Linked DNA regions of Drosophila melanogaster. The protein of the gene in region 1 interacts with the protein of each later gene in a pairwise test. Each region holds a gene or a part of one and is shown in the gene's direction. Other genes may lie near its edges.

Region 1 (7,269 bases):
GATGACCTCGCGCGTTGGTCTCGAACGGCGATCGTCCTCATAGTGCGGCATCCGGTGGGGCGGCAATTCGCGATATCTAGTCATACGGCCGTACGCATCCACATCATCGTACTGCGGTGGCATATACTGAGGTCGGCCGTAGCGATCGGGTGGCGGTCCGTAAACGGAGTACTGCAAGGGCAGAAGAGCACGAGGATTTGCATGGGCAACGGCATGCGGATGCATGGACAGAGGCATACTGAGTGGATTGAGTGGCTGTTCGCGCACATTGGCCGAAGGAGGCGGCGGTGATCGGGCGCTGCTACCGCCCCGATCCTTGAGGTAGTACGAATCCTTCTCCATTTCATCGGGCGACAGTGTTAGGTTCATCTTCTTGTCCTCAAAGTCCATGTCCTGCTCCTTGCGTTTGTTGGCTTTTCGCATCATCTCCTTAGCGGTGCGCAGGCCGCGCTCCCAGGCATTCTCCACCACCACCGGAGCTCCGTCAGGCAAAAGAGTGCGGGCGTCGTGGACGGGTGCACCATAAATACTGGGCGCATGAAGGAGCGGCGGTCGGTGATGCAATGGCCGCTCAGTTCGATAATCATGATAGTCAGCAGTCGCCGAGGCGTGGGAACTATAGGCACTCCCTCCGGCACGAGGGGCAGCGGTCGATGATGGGGCTGCTGGGGCGCTGGCTCCAGTTGAACCTCCCTGCATCGGGACCGGCCGTATAACGTTGTCGAACATTGTGTAGTTGCCCTTGTCTGTGACGCCAGGATGCAGGAAGCGGCAGCTCATCCCCCAGGTGCACTGACCCCGAGTGTAGAATCGACACACCGGCTTCGGTTCAGTCTCCTCCGGTCGCTTTTCATCCTCATCGGACACCTCGCCCTCCTCCAGCTCCCCCTCTTCCACTTTTTCCTGGCTGGATGAAGTCGACACCGACACTATATCTTTTTCCTCCTCGCCTTCCTCCAGGCAGCCATTGCCTGCGTCGTCCTTCCGGCTGTCATTGCCTGCGCCATCCTCCAAGCAGCCATTGCCAGCGCCATCCTTGCGTGTGTCTTTGTCATCGCCGTCTTTATCATCGCCGTCTTTATCCACCTCGCCGTCGTCATCGCCCTCGTCTTGCGACACCTTGGTCGTACTCTTGGTCTGGTTTGTTTCGTTGGCTGTGCTCTCCATCGGTGAAGGCTCCTTTGCCTGCTCCGGACACTCGCCCTCTTCCGCCTCGAAGTCCAAGGCGTCGTCGTCATGAGTTTTGACCAAGTCCTCCTGCAAAGCGGTCGCTGGTGCAAGTCCATTGGACGCGTCGTCGGTCTGAAATACATTTGAGTTATTAATGATTCAAGCTATTTAGATTAGAAACTACAATTCGAAACTAGAGCTCACATGGGTTTCTTTTGCGAAAGGCTCCTTCTCATCCCCGCTTGACGCTTTGCCGTTAGGCGTGGACTGCTTTTGCTCAACCTCATCCTCTTCGCCGAGAGTGGGCAGTGAATCATTGGAAATGGCGCCATCCTCGTTCTCATCCGCCGGACGCATTGAATTTTTGGATGAGGTTCGCTTCTCCTCACCCTCGATGTCGCTGACATCGCTAAGGTCGTCGTGACTGATATTCAGATCCACGGCAGCCTGATTGTACAGCTGGGGACTGACGCTTCGACTGCGAACGGATGAGAGGAACGAGCTAGGCTGTGACTTAGCGTTTGGCGAACCAGGTTGATCCGCATTAACAGGCGTTCCAGCAGCAGACTCGGACTCTCGCTCATTTATCGGCGAATGCTGCTGCTGCTCCCGTTGCTGCTCGGAAAGACGCTGCACCTCCTGTTCCGGTTCCTGATCGCCCTCATCCTCGCTAGAGGAGCCGCTGGAAGAGCTACTGCCACTGCCACTGCCACTTCCGCTGCTGCTGCTCGAGCTCTTCTTCTGCTTCTTGGACAGGTCACTGCGATTCGAACTGGAACTGGAGTTGGACGATGAGCTACTGGTGGAGGGGGCTCGATCGGACCGATCCAGTATGGGGTCGCCACCTCCGCCAGGCGATTCGCCACCATGATCCGCGACAACTTCATCCTTGTCGTTGGTGGGCGAATTCGACCGTGACTCCGAGGAATTGGACGCCGAACTGGCATGAGAATCGTCCGATTCCATGTCAAGGACCATGGGTTCGCCTTACGCCGGTGCGACCAACTAGTTCCTTGGCGTTTCTGCAGGAGATTCGAACAGATCGAGAATTAGTTTTTCTGGCATGGCTAAATATACTCAACGCTTTGGACAAGGCTCAGACGATTAAAAGCCACCACGTCCTGGTGGGAGGGGAATGTCACCGGGGCAAAACTAGCGAAGCAAGTCGATATTTTATTGGGGGCTTCTGGCGACGATTACCGGTTAATTGAGTGGACAAGTTTTGAATCGAAACAGCAAGTATACTAAGTCGGCAAGGAATAAAGACATTTGTCTGTCCAGTTTCGATTCATGTTGATTGTAACCACGTGGGTATTCTAATTGTCAATTACAAAAGAATCGATAAGAAAATCGATAGAACTAATATTATGTAATCGCAATAATCGAGGCGAGCATCGCACTGGGTCGATAACTAATAATTGTGAATAGGAGGAGGAGCAGATAGGGGATGGCCTTAATAGAAAGGGGATAGAAACGAAAGTCAAGGTCAAAAGCCCCCAAACAAATGCCGATAGCTCCGATAACGCGATAACAATCGATTTTGATATAGGATTTTTTTTATATTTGTGGGAATGACAGAATAAGTTTTTTTTTTTTTGCTTTTAACTTTTAGTGGGGTTCTTACCTTCATTTCTTTTATAAGCTTTTATGTTTTTTAATTAATTGATTATATTGTGTGTGTGCCAGTATCTTTTTTTCTTTTTTTATTTCTCTTTATACTTTATTTTTGATTAATTTTCTTGACGCGAACGAGGGACAACAAAGAGCGAGGGAGAGCGAGATTGTAAGCGCAGTGCAATTTGAAAAATTCTTTCTATTCTGGCGCTCTCTTTCCCTCTCACACACACAGTTAAGGACACGCACACACACACAGGCGCACACACAGAGGAGAGTTAAGTATTTGCATTTTTGCGGACTTTTTCGCACTTTTCGCGACCGAAATTGAATTTTCTTAACAACTTTAACCACTTTTATTCACTTACTGACTTTTACTTGAACGTTTAACTGGTTTTTTGTGTTACTTTTGCAACTTAACTTTTTTACATTCTCTAGTTCAGTTTTCATTTCATTTTTTTTTTTTTTTTTTTTTTTTTGGAGGGGAAAAATAGAATACTTGAAAATATATCAATTTGTTGCTCTGATTTTGACAATATGCTTGATTTCTTGTTGCTGCTTACCTATGTTTGAGTAGTGTGAATGCGAGCAAGAGCGCCGCTGCGCTGCCTCTACCGCTGCCGACGTCAGCGCCGCGCTTTCCTCCTTCAATCTTTTTACCGCTAAAGACGAACTGGAAAGCCCGTTTTTCCGGCGGCTCGGCGGCGACTGGTTTACCTGGTAGCGTTGGAAATTCGATGTTTTTGTGCTACAGCAAATGCTCTGGATGCCTTTTTTTGTGTTAATGAAAAAACTGTTTCCGACAGAAAACGTTTGCCTAAAGAATATGGCAGCTGCCAGTGTGACTGTGCATGGCGTGCCCGGAAATACGGCGAAAAGCGTGCGTGCCTAGTCGGTGATGTTATCTTAGCTTATGTGGCTGACGCACAGACATGACTAAGTAAATATCCAAAATGGTTCATGCCATGGCTAGCATCGAGATATTTGCGCGCCAGTGTTGCCACTTTGTCAACAGAGCCATCGTTTGGAAGGGGTCGTAAGGGGTTAAGAGCCCCATTAATATTTGGTAAATACTTGCACATATTTTATGTGCTTATTTATGATAAAATGGCTTAGGTGTATGCAAAAAATTACAGAGTATGATAACGGTTAATTGTCAAAGATAAATTTATAAGAAAAACGTGTTTCTAATCTATTTATAACCAAACCATTTTCAACGACTACAAAAAATATTGTATATTTATATTCATGACTTAAAATTTGTATAATTAGTTTTTTCATCTACGCCCTTGACAATTGCCAAACTACATGTTGTCGAAAAATAAAACACCGGTCAGCTGGACTCCGTACACAATTGGCAAAATGTTGAAATTTATCGAAATTGCTGCAAATTAACAATAATTACGCAACTTTAGCAAAGCAACGAACCCCCCTCGGCGGCAACATACCACTGCCCAATTAGTTTTCCCGCCGGTGGCGTGTGTACACACTGGGGCCACCAAATGCAGCGCCTGACGAAATCGTTACGTTCACTTCCATTTCCCGCGGGAAAGATCCTGCGAACCCAATTGGTGGTCAGAAGGGAGTACTCCTCGGAAATACCGGATCCCGTTGAACTAAGCTTCGATTCGTACACCGGCGAGAATCCAGAGACGAGTCCACCACTGCTCACATATCATGGACTCTTTGGTTCCAAGCAAAATTGGCGAGGAATTAGCAAGGCTCTGGTGCGAAAAGTTTCCCGAAAGGTGAGCTTACCAATTTATGCGTTTAGCCAAAGTATCAATGCTCAAGCCAATGTGTATTTATTTTAACCTACAGGTGTACGCCATCGATGTGAGGAATCATGGCGAGAGTCCACATTCGAGTGTCCACAATTCCAAAGCGATGAGCGAGGATTTGCGTTTGTTTATGGAGCAGCGCAGTCATCCGAATGCCGCCTGCATGGGTCACAGCATGGGCGGCAGGTCCATGATGTACTTCGCTCGAAAATATGTAAGTGTTGCGCCTTATGCACAAACTGAGTTAAATGTTAAACAATCATTTTTCCATTATCATAGCCCGAGTTGGTGGAACGTTTGATAGTGGTGGACATATCGCCAATTAGCGTGCCCCGTTCCACGGGCGAGATGACGGAAATTTTCGACGCGATGGTCTCCCTGGACCTTTCGCCAAGCATGTCCATGTCTGAGGGCAGGAAAATTGCACGGGAAAAACTACTGAAAGCCACCGAAGACGAGACCGTTGACTTTATCATGCTGAATCTCCGAAAAAATCCTGACACCGGCGCGTAAGTTTGCCACATATGTATTTGGCCTTTTTTGGGAACCGCTTTAAAATGAGATAATCTTCCTATAGTTTCTCTTGGGCCTGCAATGCCCATGTTCTTCGTGAATTCCTCACCCGCTTCGACAAATATCAGAGTAATTTGGAGGAACTGCCGCCGTACACGGGACCCACTACGTTCATTTGCGGCACGCGATCACCTTACATGAGGTAACTTGGATCCCGAGGTGCTAAGTAAACTAAACTAATTGAATCTTTTTGCCATCTTTATTAGACGCGAGCAATGGCCACAGATACAGAAAATGTTTCCCAATTCTGAGATCCACTGGCTGGATGCCGGACATTTAGTGCACTTTGAAAAGCCGCAGGAGTTTCTAACAATAGTCAGCGAGTTCCTGAATAGAACTGAGTAGACCAAATTTTGATATTTTAACCAAATGTACAAAGAAGTCAATCGCGTAGATCGACTTTAGCTAAATTGGAAAGTGAACGCTTTGTTTTTCTTGGGAACGGGAATTCAAATTAATTTCACTTCAGAACTCGAGAAGACATTCTTCAACGATCTACGCAGATCTTCAAGAATCTTCACCGAAAAGAGCGGGATAGCAATATATATATTTTTTTTTTTGATATAAGCGTTCTGAACTTGATGATTTTTCAGAATATAATAAATTTCTTAAGCACCTTTAGTGCACGAAATGCCCTCGATTTAACCCCCTTAGAAAAGTTTCAATTTATAGTGGTGTATGTACATTTAAAATGTAATTTAATTTATCATTCTTGTTCGGCGTGTAATCGTTAGTGTTTTTTTTTTTTTGGATTTCCAGTTACGTTCGTCTTTTTCCATTTGGTTTTTGTTTAAAAAATATACATACACAGACACGAAAAAAATGCCATGAAGAAGCTGATAGATTTCGTATGATTTCGTATGCTGCATACAAAAATTGACGGCAAATGGATTTTCCTCAATTTTTTTTTTTTGAAAATTTCCAATTCGCTTCTCATAAGTTCTGTGTGTGCGTGTGTGTATACGTACGTATTTTATATATATGTATTTGTTGTTTCTTGTTGGGTGTGTGTGTGGAGTGTCCTTACTTATTAGGATTAAATAAGTGTGTACAAATACATATATAAATCAAGGGAAATCACATAGCACTTAAAATTATATAGTCAAAGTGGAAATCATTGATAAATGAACACAATCCGCGTGCTTCAGTGTGTTGTTGTTGTGTTTGTGTGTTAGTTTCCGTTTGCAGGAGATCATATCTTGATGCTAAATACATCAAACAGGAATGGTGGGTAAAACTTTGGTGTGCTAAGGCTAAAATGGCTGTGATAATATTCCTCGATTCGATTCGATGTGTTTGTGAGTGTGATTGTTGACATTGAGTGGGTGTTTCGTGTGTGTGTGTGTGTGACAAGTCATTGATTTTGTCTCACAGCTTCTGTAGTTTCTAGTTCTTTAGTTATTAGTTTTGCTCTAGTTGCAGTTCCATTATAGTTGAGTTTCTAGACTATATTGCCGCCATCGTAGGCGTAGTCGGCTTTGTTGTGCATGACGAGTCGGTTTCCCACAAAGTAAAAGCTGTCCGAGCGCGTCTCAAAGGGGCTCGATATCATCTCAGCAACTAAAAAAAAATGGAAAACGAACGAACATATTTATGTGAATTGCATTTCATTAATAAGTCCACATCCTACAAACCGATAACAAAAAATAAAAACCATGATAGCTGCTCGCAATCTGACCAATAGAAGCCTCATCTCACAGGCGCAAATCGTAAACGACCTTGACCCACAAACCCCTTCAACTTTTGGCAGCAACTTTCAATTGCGTGTCATGCTGGCTGGGATTATGTAAAAATTGCTCACCTAGGTCGGGTGGAAGGTTAGGAAACTCGTAGATGTGCTCAACCGTATTCTTCGAAAATGGAAAGCAAAAGCCGAACTCAAAGTCAAACGTCTTTAGCAGGCGATCGCGGAAGAAGTGGCGTTCGATCATACGAAAATTATTAAGCGGCTGGCTGCCCACAGTGAATTCCACACTGCAAATAAGGGAAACTTACAAATTGAGAGGCATTTAAAACAAATGCAAATACTGTATAACCTACGTGGCTCCCACTGTTTTGAGGTTGAGAAATGCCGGTGTGAACTGATAGCGCACATAGCGTCCGGCATTTGGATCGGCAGTGTCATCCAGTG
Region 2 (9,678 bases), on another chromosome or scaffold:
GGCAGGGAATTTGCGACTTTTTGTGGACGCGCAGGATCTGTAGGACGAATATTTGGATGTTGTAGTTGATAGCGCAAGCGCACTAAATGGCGGGGCGAATTAAGCCGTCGAGCAGTTGATGCTGCAGTGGCTCAAAGATGCGACCACGTGGTTGGGACATCTCCTGCTCTTGCAGATTGGGCTCCTGCAGAGTGGCGTCTTGCAGATTGAGCTCCTGCAGAGTGGCGTCTTGCAGATTGGGCTCCTGCAGAGTGGCGTCTTGCAGATTAGGTTCCTGCAGATTGGGCTCCTGCAGAATGGCGTCTTGCAGATTGGGTTCCTGCAGATTGGGCTCTTGCAGATTGGGTTCTTGCAGATTGGGTTCCTGCAGAGTGTCGTCTTGCAGATTGGGCTCCTGCAGATTGGGTTCCTGCAGATTGGGCTCTTGCAGATTGGGCTCTTGCAGAAACTTGCAGGAAGAGTCCACACGCACAGGGTGGCCACCGCTTCTAATGCTCTCCATTTCGCCAGCCGGCAGAACTTCAAAAAAATGTTCACCCATATTGCCAACTATTAGTTTGGCATAATTACGGCTAGAACCATTTAATACTTTTATTTGTCTTTCCAAGCATAAAGCTCGCCGCTTTGCTATCACTTACTCAAATATTTTGGAAACTGGTCCAGTTGATATTAGGACTTCAATTGACATTTACCTCATTCAACGGTACATGGCCCTAATGTTATTGAATATCTACCACGGGATTTGTGTAAATTATAGCAAGCTGGCGAACTTTTACTCAAACTCGTATTGAACTTACAGGGCGTTTTTGAGATGTTTGATTTCCTCCTCCATCGTGGCATTCCGCTCGTCCTGATTGGCTCGCAACAATGATACCCGCGAATTCTGCTCCTTTAACAACTTGATGATATGCTCCTGCCTCCTCACTTCCCTTTGTTTGTGCGTGAGGGTCCCGTAGAGATTATAGAACTCCTCCTCCTTCGAACTCAGCTTGTTGTTTACCTGCGGGAGGAAGAAGGATAAGCATAAGCGAGGCTAGCCACATCCTTTTTCGGCGGACCTGATTGATAAGCGTTTCTTTCTCGCTAACTTGATAGTACATTTGGTCTAGTTTGGTGCGGCTATCCTCCTCATTCTTCTGCAGTGTTGCGATCAATTCGCTGCGAGCGTTCAGCAACTTCTGATCGATAACCATTTGCTCGCGCATCTTGGACACTTCCTTGCGCAGCTGCACTTCGAGCTTGGATTGCATCTCCAATTTGGCATTGGTAACACTTAGGGTCTCCCTTAGATCGCTGGTTATCCAAGCAAGAGATATGTTAATCAATATACATAATCTATGATACTGTTAACCAAGCAGTTTACCTTATCTGCTGTAGAGCTTCCTTATAGTTTCCACCCAGCTCTTCAAAGTCGGCATGCTGCTTTATTGTATTGGCCACCTGTTTGTTCATGACCTTCTTATGCTGCTCGAGACTTTGCAGCTGCAGTTTCAAATCGGCAATGATCAAATCCTTTTCTTTAACTCCCGCGTCCATGGCATCTGGACGCTGTTCCAGATGGACAATGAGCTCACGGGCCTCCTTCAGTTCGCCCTCCAGGTAATCGATGTGTTTCAAGTTCTTATCGACGGAATTTCGAGCCCGCTCCAGACCTTTGTCCGCCTCTTCCAGACGCTTAACCATTTGCTCTTTTCTAGATACGATATAAGGAAAGATCTGTAAGAACCATCATCTGCCGAGATGACCAGTTAACTTACACAGTCTTGAGCTTGGCTACCTCGGAGCGCAGTACCTCGATGGTGGAATCCTCGGTCAATAGCTTGGAATTGTTCTCGGCCAATCGAATGGACTGCTCACTGAGCATATCCTCGCTTCGCCGCAGGCTCTTTCTCAGCTCTACAATGATCTGATCTCGACTGGCCAGCTCCTGTTTCAGCTTGGCATCGAGCTCGATCCGCAACTGGTTCATCTGTTCAGTGTGCTCCTTCTGGGCGTCAAAATAACGAACCTCCATGGCCTGTTTCTGGGAACGCAACTCGGACATCTCGCGATAGAGACTTTTGTTGGGTGACTCTTGTTTGGAGCATGCACCGCACAACTGTTCGATCTCCTCGACGATTAAATTCATTTTTTCTTCCTGGAGACACAATAAAATAGTTTCACATTGCTAGTGCATCATAGCGGTTGCACAAAAACATACCACTAGGTTAGACAACTTTTTTTGAGTTTCCTCACGCTTTTCACTAGCCTCGAGATCATTTTTAGCCCTCTGAATTCTTGGTATATGGTCGTAGATTAACAAAACCCCCTGATCTACAATCGCACGACACCTGGTTTTCAAGTCATTCATACTTTCGGCGGCTAGAAAATAAAAGTATGCAATTGTAAGCGAAAGAAGGATAATTCAAGGATAACAATTCATTCAATCGAAGACGTAAAATCAAAACGAACTTACGAATACTCTTGGGCAATCGAAGTAGATCATCATGGTGGACCACAAGCTTGCATTCATCGTTTACAGTCAGACCCACAAACTTGAAGACCCCTTGATTCCGGAGCTCCGAACCCATTAACCGGATCTTGTGCATAAACTCGGACTGCAGGTTCTCCAGTTTTTTTTTCTGCGTATCAAAGACCCGCATCCGGTTCATCTCCAGGACACGGCGATGCGACATCTTTTCAGGCTTCTTTACATTTTGATAAGGTTCTGTGGACGGCAATAATCAGAGAATTGGACCACGTTTCAAATATTCGCGATACCCACCGCATGTCGTTGACTTAACCAATTGTGCTGACTGGGCATGCGTCTTTATGGGAACCACGTTCCGCTTGGGGGGATTCAACTCATCGATATCAGTTTTCCGATCGGGCTCAACTACTTTATGCTCGGGCTCGACCCGTCGATTGGGCAACGAATACGTACTGACACACGGGCGCGCTTTCGTCGAAGAAGTAACCCGTTCCAGAGAAGTTTTTCGCGAATGGATAGACGACCGACTCGCTCCACGCCTATTTGGAATGTGACTGAGCCTACCTTTGTTTGGGCTTCCGTCGCCATTCTGGGTGGGAGGAGTAGAGAAGACGCCACCACAAGAAGAAGTGCGAGACTGGGACGGGGATGTAAAGCATTTGAAAAAACTAAACCCTTTTCTTCTATCTCACTCACCCATGTAGCTTTGTCTGAGGCTTGCTTTTCCGCCTTTCCAGCTGTCCTCAGCAAGAATGCTTTGTTACCTAACAAGGATAACGAGCATTTGAAGCACACATTCGTATAGCGTTCAAGGTACATGTACTTACTACGAACTGAACGCGGCGTCACGCTGGAAGAATTCATATCTAAAGTTTCGGAAATCAACGCTTTTTTGTAAACGATTTTTGTGTTCAAAATGAGGAAAAAATAGTATAGAAAATTTGTTTCTAAATATTTCCAGTTGAACTACGTCTAGTGTAAATGGTACAAAAATGCTTTCTGACCAATCCAAACGAGGTGGTTCGTGGAAGTAACATGAATTCAAACTCAGAGCACACTTGTTCAGTTCCAATGTACCCGGTGTTTTTGGGGTCTGTTTGTTTAGAATGAGCGTATGAAAACTAATGGTTTCTATCAACAAATGCGAATCTGCAAAAGAAGCGGAAACTAAGCTAAATGGGAGGGAAAAGTAGAGAGCAGTTTTTCCCTCTCTGAGGTTCTCCATGTAATCCATTCGTCGGTCCCGAATGATGCACATCGTCCATCCAATAATCGACTCGGCGAAATTTGCATTCAGTTGCTGTTCGTGCGTCCACCGAGTAAGTTCTTAGTTCGGATTTCCCTCTAAAAGCATATATTTCGAGATTGTTTCATTTACGATCCATCAATACTGAGTAACAAGAGTATGAAAAAACAATCTGTACCACCTTGCTATTAGTTTATTTTCTCAAAATAACTTAATCAACTGGATTAACATACATGATGTGCTAGTGAAAGTGGGTGCTACAATATAAGTGCAGTACTGAGGTGAAGAAGCCCTAAAAGTGACTTTAATGATTTAGATCCATGGGAAATGGACGTTTGTCACCCCCTTGTATTCGAATTCGCTGTAGACAGTCGGCGCGTTTTTCAATTGAATTTAATCAGTGACGTAGACGGTCTATATAGTACAGACTATATATTGTATATACGCAATGCGATCCGATTTTCAAGGGGTAAACAACCAACAACCCGCCTAGTTCAAGTTCCGCATGGCAATTGAGCTGGCATAATTTGGATCTCAAAGGAAATGGAAAGTGTCTGCGAAAATAGCAATATGCACTATGTGTGACATCACGCAAAGTCATTCAATTGAAGGCTATTTCTACGAATTCAAGTTCAGTTTGAAACTGGAAGTAGGCTCCATTGGTTGCCATTGACATTCGATACCAATGCGGATAATTAAGACAATTAAGTGCTGGCCAGAAATAGTTTTTTCCCCCACAACCACGTGGCTGCATCAAATGATTGTAAATTTGTATTCCCACTCAATTTTGCATTGCAGCTCTTTGAAATGAAAGCTCTGGAAGGTTTCACTATTCTTCTCGCATTAGTGGGTGTTATTCCCCGGATCGAGGGCTGCATTAGGGTCCCACCGGGAGTCACAGCAGCCAAGTCACCGGTGGATGATAACTATGTGCTGTCCGTAAACGGAAATACGCAGAGTTATGTGCCCGGTCAAAGGTATAATGGTGAGTGCATTAAATTAAGCATTAAATTAAATTAAATTTACAAATTTCTAGATTTTTCTTTCAATTCTCTAATCTTTCGCTGCTCGTTTTCAGTTAGCCTCAGTGCATTTTCTGGCTTGTCCTTCATTAGCTTTATGCTGGCCCTGGATTTGGAGAGTGGTGACGGCGATGGTGACGCCAATGCCCTGGGCACCTGGGAGATCGCCGATCTCGCCGAGACCCGTTTCAGTCCGCGCTGCCCAAATCTTGTCGAGAATACCAACACGAACGTGAAGACACGCGTGGATGTGTTCTGGGTGGCTCCATCGAGTCCGGGACAGGGCTGCATCCTGCTGAGGGCTACGGTGATGCAGCATCGAGATGTGTGGTTCATGGATGATGGCTTCCTTACCAAGCGTATGTGCGAGGAGGAGGTGGACGACATTGACACCCAGCCCAGCATCGTGGATCCGTGCTGTGCCTGTGACGAGGCCAAATATGAGGTGGGACTCTTTTAACTCATTATTGAAATGGTATTAACACCTCCTTACTTCAGCTTACCTTCGAAGGCAAGTGGTCGCGTCACACACATCCCAAGGACTTTCCAGCGAATAGCTGGCGCACCAGATTCAGCGATATCATTGGTGCCTCGCACACACTGGACTACAGATTCTGGCAGTATGGAGAGCTGGCCAGCGAGGGGCTGCGTGAGGTGGCGGAGCATGGCTCCACAAGGACCTTGGAGAGTGAGCTGAAGGATCAGAGCGAACACATTCGCACGATCATCAAGGCAAGGGGCATTGCCTATCCGAATGTTACGGGCAAAACATTTGCCGTTTTTCGCGTCGACTCCAACCACCATTTGATCTCCCTCGTATCAATGGTGGATCCCTCTCCAGACTGGATCGTTGGTGTATCCGGCCTCGAGCTATGTCTGCCCAACTGTTCCTGGGTGGAGAACAAGGTGCACAACCTATATCCCTGGGATGCGGGCACCGATAGTGGTCCATCATATATGGTAAGACGATTTCCATGATTTAGTCTTCAGTAGAGTCAATCACGAATACTTTTCAGTCCGCTGACCAGCCACAGGTGCCTCCAGATGTTGTGCGCCGCATCAAATCAAATTTCCCCAACGATCCCCGTTCGCCCTTTTATGATCCCACTGGTGCCCAGATGAAGCCATTGGCCACCCTGCACATCAATCGAAGACGACTCTACGAAAAGAACTGCGAGTCCTCCGATTGTAAGTTAAATGCAACCATATATTGATGTTGTGAATATACATACTATATACTTTAATCCTGTAGCGGAACAGGTACCGCCGGAGTGCGCCACAAACTCGTGGTCCAGATGGGATGAATGCACCACAAAGTGCGGTCCCGGCAAGCAATACAGAATCCGAGAGTTCAAGAACCCTGCATTGGCTTCGGTAATTAAGACGACATATATAATTTGGATCCCATACTATATATACATTTTGACACCTACCTTAGCGTCATCGTTGCAACAATGCCCTGCGTGAGGAGAAGAACTGCGTGGGACACAAGTGCGCTGGCTTCAATGAGGAGACAGCTGAAGGCGGCGAGCCGGAGGTGGCGCCATCACCAGGTAGCAGCGACGATCCCCAGTGCGGTCTGTCTGACTGGTCGGAGTGGTCTTCGTGCACCGTGACTTGTGGAACCGGCGAAATGACCCGATCCCGACACTATCTAAACAAGAAGGCCAAGAAGAAGTGCCAGAAGGCAAGCAGGGCGCGTCTGCATGAGACCAAGATTTGCGAGGCAATGGAATGCGGTGGGGACATCGAGAACGAAGGTGGTGCTGGGGAACCGGAGGAGGAACAGGCCGGTGGCGACGGAGGTGGATCCGCTGAGAAACGCTCCATATTCCGCAACTTCGAGAGTTACAGTCAGCATCGGGAGGATTACATACCACCGGTTTGCGGGGTCACTCCATGGTCGGATTTCTCGCCGTGCATGGGGCCATGCGGTGGACATGGAAAGCGGCAACGTATTCGCAAGGTGTGGAATAACAACCAGGTGTACGGAGTAACGGATCCCAATGATGACGGCCAGGATCCCTGTCGACACATCAAGCTGCACGAGGAGGTGAACTGCACCAATCCTAGCTGCGATACCATTGTTCCCGGCTTCTGCTACGACGAGCTGACCGACAGTCCGTGTCGGGATAACGATGTGGCCAACTTCTGGTACTACGACCATGTGAGTGACCAGTGTGCCATCTATTGGTCGGATCGTTGTGATACAAATCGCAACAAATTCAAGTCGAAGGAGGAGTGCGAGGAGACATGTCGCCTGCCGCGCCACAAACAGGAACTGCAGCACGATGGCATTCCAGCCATTGATTGTCTCGTCTCTGACTGGGTTTCCCACAGTTGCAACGCCTCCTGCGGCGATGGCTTCCAATTGCGAACGCGTCGGGTGCTCCGTACTCCGAAGTATGGAGGCAAGCCATGTCCCAAGCACCTGGTACGTTTGGATCGCTGCTACCAGCGGTGCGATGACATGTACTCAATCAGTGGACGGGGATTTGGAGAGCGAAGGCATGTGGTAAGAGCTCCGCAACCGGAACCGCAGGACGAGTGTCGCTACTCGGAGTGGTCCGCCTGGACACCATGCACCGCCACGTGTGGCGATAATGCCGTTCGCCAACGAACCCGAACCCTAATGAACACCGATCTGAGCTACAAGTGCAAGGATCGCGTCCGCATGGAAAAGTGCGTGATGATGCCTTGCCAGCTGACCAGCAACGATGATCCAGAGCGGTGGTGAACATACCATTAACTGCTACAAGTATTAGTTCTAATCCAACTATGTAATCATTACCAATGGATATCGTTAAATATATGAAAAATTCCAGACTACCTACACTAGCTCTTCTCGCAACAGATTAAATATGTATTAAAAACAATAAAACAGAATTGTGTTCGCGTGGTAATTCCAATTCCGATTGAGTTTAACCTTGACCCAGTTCCATTAAGCAAACAGTGGCCAGTTTACGAGTGATTTTTCGCCGGGTTGCAAGTTCAAAGAACCCGGGCACAATTCATCAATTGAAAAGCTTGCCATAAAAACAAACCATTCCTAATTGAAGACAACTCAATCAAGATGCCATAAGCTGTCAACGCCGAGAGCGCCATTTAAGGGATAATTGATAAATTGGAAATGCTCATCAATTAATGGAGATGGCTAGCCATCAGTTTTGGTCAGTCGCCGTTGAGCCTCGACCCAGTACGGATCGCTAAGATTGAGAAGAGATGCTTCGCCATATCGTGCTCCTCATTCTGCTGTCTTCCGAAGTCAGAGGAGTCTGCAATCGGATACCCCAAGGTGCCAGTGGCCCTCGATCGCCTGTGGATGATAACTTTAAGATCCTTATCGATGGCAATCCAGAGACCTATGTGCCAGAACATCAGTACAATGGTGAGAGTCTCGAGTTGTCCTGAAGCTTTTACTTCAACATTATTATCATCATAAGTTTCGTTATCCTGTCCAATAAACATGAAATTCGTGAGCTTCACCTTGGTGGTCGAGGCTGAGGATCCGTCGGCTGCCTTCGGTGGTCAGGATATGACCGGTCACTTTGAACTGCTGGGAGTCGGAGACACCCGATTCAGTACCAGTTGTGAGAACATGGTGGAGAACACAAATACGAATGCCAAGATCTATATCGCGGTATCCTGGATAGCACCACGTAATCCGGACAGCGGTTGTGTACTGATTAAGGCTGGTGTGGTTCAACATCGTGATGTGTGGTTTCTGGACGATGGCTTCCTGACCAAGCGGATTTGTCCCGAGGAAATCGACGAACTGAACAGCTTAACACCACCCTTGGAAACTTGCTGTGCCTGTGATGAAGCCAAATATGAGGTTGGAATATCTTCTCAACTCTTCCTAATATTGTGTTTAAAATAATCGTATCTAATAGATTGTTCTGGAGCGAAAGTGGGCAAGGAACACCCATTGGAAGGACTTTCCCTCTGAGGACTGGCGCACACGCTTGGGCGAGGTGATTGGTGCTTCACATAGCCACAGCTATCGCTACTGGGCCTACGGAGGAAGAGCGAGCAAGGGCATGAAGGAGTTGGCCGAGCACGGAGCTACACGTACCCTTGAGAATGAGATCAGGGAGAATACTCAGGTAGGTAATCAATTTTATCGCATTAAATCCACTTCATCATGGTGTTTCTAACAGAATGGCGAGGTGAGAACTATAATAAAGGCTCCTGGAATTCCCTATCGTCCGAAAACATTTGGCACAACCCTGGCCAATGCTCGTCTGGATCCAGTACACCATCAGATATCGCTAGCAGCCAAGATTGATCCTTCACCCGATTGGATACTGGGCGTGGCTGGATTGGAGCTTTGCTTGAGCAATTGTACGTGGCTGGAGCGAAAGGTCTTGAATTTGTATCCCTGGGACATCGGCACCGATTCGGGACCATCGTATATGGTAGGCGAAAAATAGCCCACTATGCATTATATTTATCTCCTTCAAAGTCCTCAGATGAGCCACAAGTGCCACCGGATGTGGTGCGCCGTATAACATCTTCGTATCCCAGCGACCATCGTTCGCCATTTTACGATGACACCGGTGCCCCAATGAAACCCTTGGCCACACTCTACTTGACCCGGAAGAAACTCTACATTAGGGAGTGCGAAGAGGGTAAGTGATCGTTATTGTAATCCCTGCACGTGCTGTTCATAATCTTTAGTATTAGTTCCCCAGGAAGGACCGCTGGAGTGCGCTGTACACCCTTGGAACGAGTGGACCAACTGCAGCACGCGATGTGGTCAGGGCTACTCTCATCGTCAGCGTAGCTTCAAGAATCCCAATCTAGCTGCCAACTTTAACTGCGATAGGCGCTTGGAGGAGTTCCGCCAATGCCAGGGAACCCAATGTGGGGCAGCGGAGGAGGAACTGGAAGGCGAGGAGCCTGGCCTGGGCATGGAAAATCCCCCAAGTAGTGGCTCA

The links. Proteins that work in one complex are often made in the same cells at the same time.
Region 2: the proteins of CG2059 (region 1) and CG17739 interact in a two-hybrid assay, tested with the Drosophila melanogaster proteins (one large-scale study listed by BioGRID).

The regions. Positions count from the first base shown.
Region 1 is NC_004354.4:7,282,567-7,289,835, forward strand, and holds CG2059 (uncharacterized protein), read left to right. Parts: upstream 1-3,791; 5' UTR 3,792-3,850; intron 3,851-4,084; exon of another isoform or gene 4,085-4,199; 5' UTR 4,200-4,286; coding exon 4,287-4,532; intron 4,533-4,605; coding exon 4,606-4,779; intron 4,780-4,844; coding exon 4,845-5,074; intron 5,075-5,142; coding exon 5,143-5,280; intron 5,281-5,344; coding exon 5,345-5,483; 3' UTR 5,484-5,551; downstream 5,552-7,269. Other genes in the region: CG1677 (uncharacterized protein), read right to left, coding at 1-1,302, 1,375-2,148; unc-119, read right to left, coding at 6,580-6,698, 6,940-7,112, 7,179-7,269.
Region 2 is NT_033778.4:12,302,765-12,312,442, forward strand, and holds CG17739 (uncharacterized protein), read left to right. Parts: upstream 1-3,763; 5' UTR 3,764-3,789; intron 3,790-4,514; 5' UTR 4,515-4,523; coding exon 4,524-4,701; intron 4,702-4,794; coding exon 4,795-5,183; intron 5,184-5,236; coding exon 5,237-5,698; intron 5,699-5,754; coding exon 5,755-5,926; intron 5,927-5,990; coding exon 5,991-6,112; intron 6,113-6,176; coding exon 6,177-7,475; 3' UTR 7,476-7,648; downstream 7,649-9,678. Other genes in the region: salto, read right to left, coding at 83-572, 798-1,000, 1,059-1,293, 1,364-1,693, 1,758-2,137, 2,201-2,361, 2,456-2,707, 2,765-3,107 and 2 more; CG30203 (uncharacterized protein), read left to right, coding at 7,961-8,126, 8,182-8,573, 8,632-8,844, 8,899-9,156, 9,204-9,369, 9,425-9,678.